Linked DNA regions of Tribolium castaneum. The protein of the gene in region 1 purifies or fractionates together with the protein of each later gene. This does not show direct contact. Links are inferred from orthologs where the notes say so. Each region holds a gene or a part of one and is shown in the gene's direction. Other genes may lie near its edges.

Region 1 (4,556 bases):
CTAGCTTACCGGTGAATTTGACACTTTGACATTCAGGAGTTGGTGAAAAGTTGTCACACGAAGTCCAGGTGATTTTGCGGCACAAACTTCTCGCAAAGTACGAAATGAGCTTTTTGCGTAACCCGCGAACCCTTCTGGAGGCATCGAAAGCTCCGAAGTAGGTGCAGGTGCAAACTGCACCACTTAGTGCCTTCCAGTCATCGTCTTACATAATATTGTCATATTTTTATTTCAGACAGTTTCGATTAATGTCACAGCTTGGCGATTTAGGGAGCGGGGCTGGGAAAGGGGGCGGCGGCGGCGGCACAATTCGCGAAGCCGGGGGTGCCTTCGGCAAGGCTGAAGCCGCCAAGGAAGAGGAGTATTTCTATAAAAAGGTTAGATGCACCGGCTAATAATAGATTTGTTTATAGTTTTTTTTAAGCAAAGGGAACAGTTATCGAAACTGAAAGACGATTTAAAGAACGAAATTAATTTCCACGAGGAGCAAATCAAGAGACATCAAGATGCGATCAATCGCCACAAGCAGAGAGTCACCGAAATCGACAAGGAGTAATTTCATATTTGAGTTCCACAGCTTGAAAGTAGATTTCTTAGATTGGAAAATATGTTCACGTTTACTGTATGATATAGGTATTATTTTCAAATAAATATTATCGCCTTCACTGTGTGTTTTTCTCAATTGTGTGTGGCACACCATATTTATTTTTTCGATAAAAATGATGGTTACGTAATATTTGTTTAGTGTTTGACACTGCGTACTACGATGCCCTTAAAGGGCCACGATCACAAATTTTTCAAACTGTTAAATTAATAAAATCTTGGACCTTAAGTAAATAGTCGCATTGCGAGCTTTAAAAGTCGTATTGCGTGCTTTAATGTTGCATTGCGAGTTTTAAAGTCGCATTGCGAGCTTTAAAGTCGCATTGCGAGCTTTAAAGTCGATTGCGAGCTTTAAAGTCGATTGCGAGCTTTAAAGTCGATTGCGAGCTTTAAAGTCGATTGCGAGCTTTAAAGTCGATTGCGAGCTTTAAAGTCGCATTGCGAGCTTGTGTGCGGTAGAAACATGAAATAACTCAAAAAACTTGTTACAACGTGTACAAAACACACCCCCAATGTTCCGCAATGACCAGTCTATAGGAAGAAAAAAGGCATAATAATATTGTTTTGTATATGTAAATAAATTTTACGTGGCATAAGTATACAGGGTGATTCAAAAGAGTCAGATCTTTTTTTGGGTAGTGGTAAAAGACATACAACTAAGTTAAAACTTTCTATAACAAAAAGTTATATAAGCCTTTTTTAGGATAGCTTTTTAAAGGTTAGATTCTTGTTTTAAGCACTTAATATCATGTTTTTTTGAAATAATTGGCGGTAATGGCGGCCCTTCAGCATAAAAAATGCAGTGTTGCCATCCGCTGGGTGGCAAATTCGAAATTGGCGCCGGTGTGCGCTTGAGCTGTAAAATGACCGAACCCAGTCGGTAACTCGACAACCCGTAGTTGTATTTCTCATTGATCAGCTAGTACACTGTATGCGTTTGTTGCTTGCTGTGGGGTAACCGTGCCATATTAAGTTACAGAAATAAAAACAAATAGTCGAGTTAATTCGACTAGTAAAAACTGTTTTTAGTGATGTATTTAAGGATATGTTCATTATTATGTTGTGCAATCCTATTTGGATTTGCGACAGCAGCACAGGTAAGTTACAAATGTTCATCATTCCTACTCGTTCGGGGCCTAAACTTGTGTCTTAAATGTTGGAGCTCGTCCGAGCTTTGAGGTTTTTTCTTGGCGAAAGCGCGTCAAAAATATTTATGTTAATGTGCACGAACGCAAATTAATAACAATGACGAGACGCATACGAAAATGTTTACATTGTATCATCTATAATTTCGATTTTCCGGACAGACGGCATTCGCCTTCCAAAAAAATCATCGCTCCTGCAGATGGTATTTTGTTTACGCGCTTTTACTGATTTTAATTTAATGCCAACCTTTAGTCGGCCAAATAAATCATTTTACAAGATCATAAAACTTCTTCCTTTTCTACGGATCGTAAATATCGCCAATATTCCGAAAAATCAATCAGCAAATGGACAAACACAAGGACTTCGTCATTGATAAGCATTTTGCATAATTAATTACTTCTAATGAAACATTCCATTAAAACCGAACGAAGCCTCCTGTTACAACCATTGCAAAACTGAAGAAATATTTTGCTGCATCCCTACCTCATAAATTCCATAAATTAAGCTTGCACTAAGCGTTTTGACAAAGACTGCTTTTTTACGTAACTTAAAATAATCACACTTATAAATTATTTATAATGTAGTAGTAAATGGAAGAAATGATGCGTAAAAACTCGTTTCGAGATGTATATCCATCTTGCTACATTTTGTTTCCATAATTTTTAATTGCAACAATGCTCATTTGAGCGGAATTAGGGATAATTAAATGGAATTACAAATTAGAATTGCATGTTAAACATTTTAATTCCTAACGAAGTGTATTCACTTGAAACGCGCATAAATATTCTTATTTAATTTGGTCGCAGAAAATTATCAGCCTGGAAATGTATATTTAAAATTAACGCAAATTGTGATGCTGTAAAATCTGTCAAAAGAGGTTTTAATGATGTATCGCAAGGGAGATCATAACAACACCCTCTGTTAAGATTTTCACCTTTGTAGGTAATTTACTTATCTCTTCTATTCCACTAATTTGCTTTTGAGAGAAAATGGGGTGAGGTTTGCTAATTCCAGATGTAATATACTGGTGGTTCGTGGTATTTAACTCCGCGATTCATTTTTGCATCTGATTTTCGTGACTAAAGCGAAGAAATTGTTTTCATTTCTATTAATACATCAAGGAGTGTTCTCGTATAGACGTATTTATTCATACAGTCTGATTGAATCAAGGGATACAGTTTTGTGCAAGATTGAAGGTCGCCTTAAATCTGCTTCAGCACATCTGTATCATTTTTGCGGAAAAATACGCAAGGCGGAGGTTTTTCACAAGCACTTGAAACGTATCATGATTTTCGTGAGAATTTCAGTCAATGGAGATTTTACAGCTACCGTAACAGGTCATGTCGTTATTTTATTGATGGGGAACCAAAAATAGCATTAACATGTCTCCGTGCTTTCGGAGAAAACTGAATTGGTCAGTTTGAAAAGTTGGCAAAATCGGGATTTATTTAGTACATAAATTGGCGAATTGGCAGTAGAGCAATTCCAGTTTAATGTGGTGGACGATAAAGCATGCTGTCAGGTTGTAATTTAGTTAAATGAATATTTCATCCTATTTATTCATTTATTAAATCGTAATTAAAACGGACTTAACTGCATGGGATAGTTTATTATCACTTTTATGTCAGACTCCTGTAGTTAGCATTAAGCTTAACAAATTCGATTAGCACCGATAATGCATGATTATTACTAAAATCAGTGTTATCTCATGTCGGGACATTTATTACTAATTCGAGTGTTTCGTGATTATATAATTGTATTAAATATCATTGCTTGAATTTATCATTGGGGTGAAGTTGCCATTAAAAAGAAATCATAATTGCTTACGTAACACATTTACCATTAAAATTGTTTCATTAAAATGGAAGCGTATACGAAGGCTATTTTTGCATCGATGAATATTTTAGCAGTACCGTGTCAATTCAGGCCATAAATAATTCGAATGTGTCCACCCCGTAACAATTAAACTTTTATCAAAATTGAATTGTTTTTAAACAATCCATAATTTGTTAATATTTTTGATTTATGTGATGCGTCCAGAGAGATTCTCCTTTTTGCTCGGTAATGCCCTTGCGAGAGATTAAAGGAACTTTGTGTCGCCGATGACACTAAGACCCCGCGATTTATCATTATTTTTATTGTTCGCTGTATTCCTTTATTATAAATCAAGGACGCTTGTGTTTCCAAGGTAAGGAACAAAAACTTGGTTAGGGTATAAGCAGTGAAGCGCTGTTTATTTGTGAGGTATTTTTGGAAATGGTTACTTTAGTAATGTGCGGGTCGTATGTTTATTGTTTACTTCCAACTTTGCTTTTTGGGTGGTTTTACAAAAATGATCAATACTTCGGTTGCGATGTTACTGTCATTTTAACCACAAAGAGTTTCATTTCCGCTAATGTAAGAAATCCTGCATTGTTACGCCTGTTATTGATACAACGTTGTTGCAGTATCAATCGGATGTTTACTCAGTACAGATAGTCACCTAAGCGAGATGCTTGCCAACAATCTCAATATTTATCGAAAAATTACTAACGATATGATCAAAAATAAGAACAGTTCATCCAAAATAGAAAACAAATGAGTCTCGTTTCCGGCGATTTTTAAGTGACGGAGGTTTTTGAAGCTATCTGTATTGGCGTAGACGGACTTCCCCGTCCACAAAATAATACGAATCGATAGTTTGGCTACTGTTCCCGCCGACTCCGCATTTAATAAACAACATATTTGATAGCAATTCATGTCGTTCGAAGTGTTATTCATCAATGTCATTTTTAACCGAACGAAGCTAAATTGAAATATAGGACTGC
Region 2 (3,826 bases), on another chromosome or scaffold:
TCTGAAAACTGATAATTATCTGAACGGGAAATATTACGCGAGGATTATTAAAGAAGTCTGCAGCGATTTGGAGGAATCGAAATATCAGAATGCCGAGCTCCGTTTGAGCATTTACGGCAAAAGCAGGGACGAGTGGGACAAATTGGCCAAATGGGCCATTGGTTCCAATGTCTACTCAGACAACGTTCGCTGGCTAATCCAAGTTCCTCGGCTTTTGTAAGTATTTCAAAAGAAGTAGTTTAGCTACCACTAATATTTTTTTAATAATAATTTGTAACTTCATGCCTCAAAAACCAAGCGTATTTATTTCCCATAACTACTCGTAAATGCACAAAGAAAATTTTGTTTTCTAAATTTTTACCATATACTCATAATATGTATTAGTGCTTTTTATGATATGAATATTTTTACACGTTGCGACATCATCTCACGAACGAAACGCAATTGTAATTGCATTATGAAAATTATTCATTGTTGATGGATTTGATTTGTTCTTTTACAGAGAAATAAAACTATGTAAGCATAAAAAAACAAACGAACTTGATTAGAAAAAATCTACTTTGCATATTTAATTGTTAAACTCTGCACATTCAATATAAAAAATAATCGTACAAGCCAAATTAAAAAACAAAACAAAGAATTATGCGTGATAACTGGTCACATGACCAAATTGAAGCAATTTGATTGGTCTATGTTTAACTTTTAACAGCGCAATTGACTTTAATTGAGCTTTCTATAAACTGGCCTTTGATGCATTAAATTTACAGTAGTAAGAGATAAAGGTTTAAATTTAACATTAATTTTAAAAACCAATTTGATTTGCTCTTCCGTTATTTTATATTTTAACAGATTTACCTGTAGATATCTTTATTATCTATCTATGATAAACAATATGGGGTCCAAAAAAAGGGTGGATAGACGAAGAGTTGTTTATTTCTGCGCTAAATAGTTTAAAATTGGTTAAATTATTATAATTTTTTGTTCAATAATGAGCTAATTTATCCAGACTTATTAGCTGAAATCACGCCAGTAAACAGTTAACAAATTCGTTAAACAAAGATAATATATGAAGATATTAAATTATTTGTTATGGTTGAACTATCCTGAGAAGGTCTGAAGACAAGCTGTTTCAACAAGCGCATAAACGCAAAGTTTGAAATTGAGTTTTTAAGGAGAGTAAATAAATAAGCAAGTAAATTAAAAAGTACCTAATAAACAAAATATTTTTTTTACAATAGGCTGTTGTTCTTAAATTGACCACAGATCAGTTTGTATCTCGTTTTAAATATTTGTAACCGAGTTTAAACGGGTTAAAAACTCTATTTATTTATTTTCTATAAAAAAAATAAGTTCAAATCGCATGAAAAAATATCGTAAGTTTCTGAGAACCTTAGCAACAATATACAGAGTGTCCGTTTCGAATAAATTGGAAAAAAATGTGTCAAATGACCTGCGTCCAGGGCTCTGAAAAGCTTAAGTCCATGCTGTTTCTACTTTTTACAATCTAACGTGATTAAATTGCAGTAACGTAATTTACTTGTAATTCAGCGAGTTTTAGACGAAGAATTCTTTTGAATTATGATGAATAATACCTTACAGCACTGCTCTAAAATACTAAATTTTCCAGTCAATGCCTCACATTTTAAATAAATTGTTTTAATCACTGCACATGTATACTAAATAAATTGTTATTATATCGTACTTAAGATACATTTACTCAAATTTTAGACATAGTTTAGCTGGTAGCTAACTACGATTCTCAGCTCTGTCTAAATCCCGACTTTCCCGAATTGTTAACCGAATTTCTCCCTCTAGCGACATCTTCAAGCTAAACAAACTCCTCCAAAACTTCCAACAAGTCATCGACAATATTTTCCTGCCTCTGCTCGAGGTGACAGCGCGACCGAGCTCCCACCCGGAACTGCACCGCTTCCTGGAGTATGTCATCGGCTTTGACTCCGTGGACGACGAAAGCAAGCCCGAGAAAAACCCGCTTTTCGACAAAGACCTCCCGAAACCGGAAAACTGGAACGACGACGAAAACCCGAACTACGCCTACTACCAATACTACATGTACGCCAACATGGCCGTACTCAACCACTTCCGGGCCGAGAAGGGCCTCCCGACGTTCGTCCTGCGCCCGCATTGCGGCGAAGCCGGCCCTGTGCAGCACCTCGTGTGCGGCTACATGCTGTCCGAGAACATTTCGCACGGCTTGTTGCTGCGCAAAGTCCCGGTTTTGCAGTACTTGTACTACTTGGCCCAGATCGGGATTGCGATGAGTCCGCTGTCCAATAACAGCCTGTTTTTGAACTACCACCGGAACCCGCTCCCGGAGTACCTGTCGCGGGGGCTGGTCGTGTCGCTGTCCACGGACGACCCGCTGCAGTTCCACTTCACCAAGGAGCCCCTGATGGAGGAGTACAGCATTGCGGCCCAAGTGTGGAAGCTGTCCAGTTGCGACATGTGCGAGCTGGCGCGCAACAGCGTGCTCATGTCCGGGTTCCCGCACAAGATCAAGCAGTACTGGCTGGGGCCCAACTACACCAAGGAGGGCGTGGCTGGGAACGACATCGCCAGGACCAACGTGCCGGACATAAGGGTGGCATTTAGGTACGAAACCCTGATTGACGAACTGTCGAATATTTTCAAAGCTCAGCCGGAACCAAATTCGGCTTGAACGAGGTGTTGGCGTTTTCGGTTAAGTTTACAAATTTTATAAATTATTTTTTATATGTATAGGCAGGTTTCATTTAAGCAAATATATTTTCGTGTAAGTGGTAAGTGAAATAATTCAATTCGAGTTGTGATGAGATACGCCTTACGACTAGAACAGTTTCTTATATTTTTATAAAGAGTTTAACAAGTGATTGTTTTTGCTGACGCTAGTCGATGTTTGATCATTGTTAAGTCTCGCCGAAATTTTATTTCCGGTCCTCGGAGCGCGTGACGAAGTCTTCGGTATTCTTAAGTGTTAGATTAATGTTGGAACTTGTTATTTTAAGTTTTTATTAATCGTAATTATGAAATTTCTAACTTAATTGCACTTCGTAAAATTTTGCATTTGGCTCTTTAATCGTATATCTTTAGCCATCCGTTATTGACTGACTTAGAGATTATTAAATAAAAAGCCAAATAATTGAAAAATATAATAAAAAAATGACCAATAACTAGAATTTGTGCCCTGTTGTTAAATATATAGCCGATTATATTGTACGTACTCTGAAATGAGAATAAAGTTATCAAAGCATTCCTGTGTATTTTTTGCACCTCCACCACTGTTTACCAAAAGAAATTGAAAAAAAAGTCATTTTTGACTCTAGCACATTGCTGAAATGAAGCCGATATTTTGTTTGTAAACGCTGATGAAAGAAATTAGTAGAGAATTGAAAAAAATTTGTAAAAATAAATTTTTTTAAGTGATAAAAAACGGACTTTAAAATTATTAAAACTATACAAGAAAAAAAAAAAGGATTTTGCGGCGTTTCTTATTATTATTAATATCAAAAAAAATAATTAATACATCATCAAAAACTTTAAAAATGTGATCATTTCTCAAAAAAATTCTGTGAAGAAGGAAAAAGGTGTAGGTAAATTAAAAAACTTTATTTTGTTATTTAGTAACATTTCTCATACAAAATTAAAGTACACATAAATCTACCATTAAATACTACTTGTTTTGATAAATTAATTCGAGGAGAAAAGGTGAGTTACTACAGCCTACTATCAGTGACACCATTGCTGACATTTTCTCTCGACTCTTGTTTCGTTTCTGGTGGACTGACCCTATTTGGCATCAACAGTTGTCTGAAAATCTTCCTGAAAG

Evidence for each region.
Region 2: the proteins of Sdc (region 1) and AMPdeam purify together in Homo sapiens (co-immunoprecipitation; 3 studies listed by BioGRID and IntAct, counting the BioPlex papers as one, with this or other methods). This does not show direct contact. The link is inferred for Tribolium castaneum from reciprocal best matches to the Homo sapiens genes SDC2 and AMPD2.

Annotation. Positions count from the first base shown.
Region 1 is NC_087403.1:6,250,932-6,255,487, forward strand, and holds the start of Sdc (syndecan), read left to right. Parts: upstream 1-1,497; 5' UTR 1,498-1,634; coding exon 1,635-1,700; intron 1,701-4,556. Other genes in the region: ATPase inhibitor mai-2, mitochondrial, read left to right, coding at 105-157, 236-377, 425-556. UniProt on the Homo sapiens protein: Cell surface proteoglycan which regulates dendritic arbor morphogenesis.
Region 2 is NC_087396.1:12,801,549-12,805,374, reverse strand, and holds the end of AMPdeam (AMP deaminase 2), read left to right. Parts: coding exon 1-216; intron 217-1,815; coding exon 1,816-2,680; 3' UTR 2,681-3,251; downstream 3,252-3,826. Other genes in the region: nose resistant to fluoxetine protein 6, read right to left, coding at 3,714-3,826. UniProt on the Homo sapiens protein: AMP deaminase plays a critical role in energy metabolism. Catalyzes the deamination of AMP to IMP and plays an important role in the purine nucleotide cycle.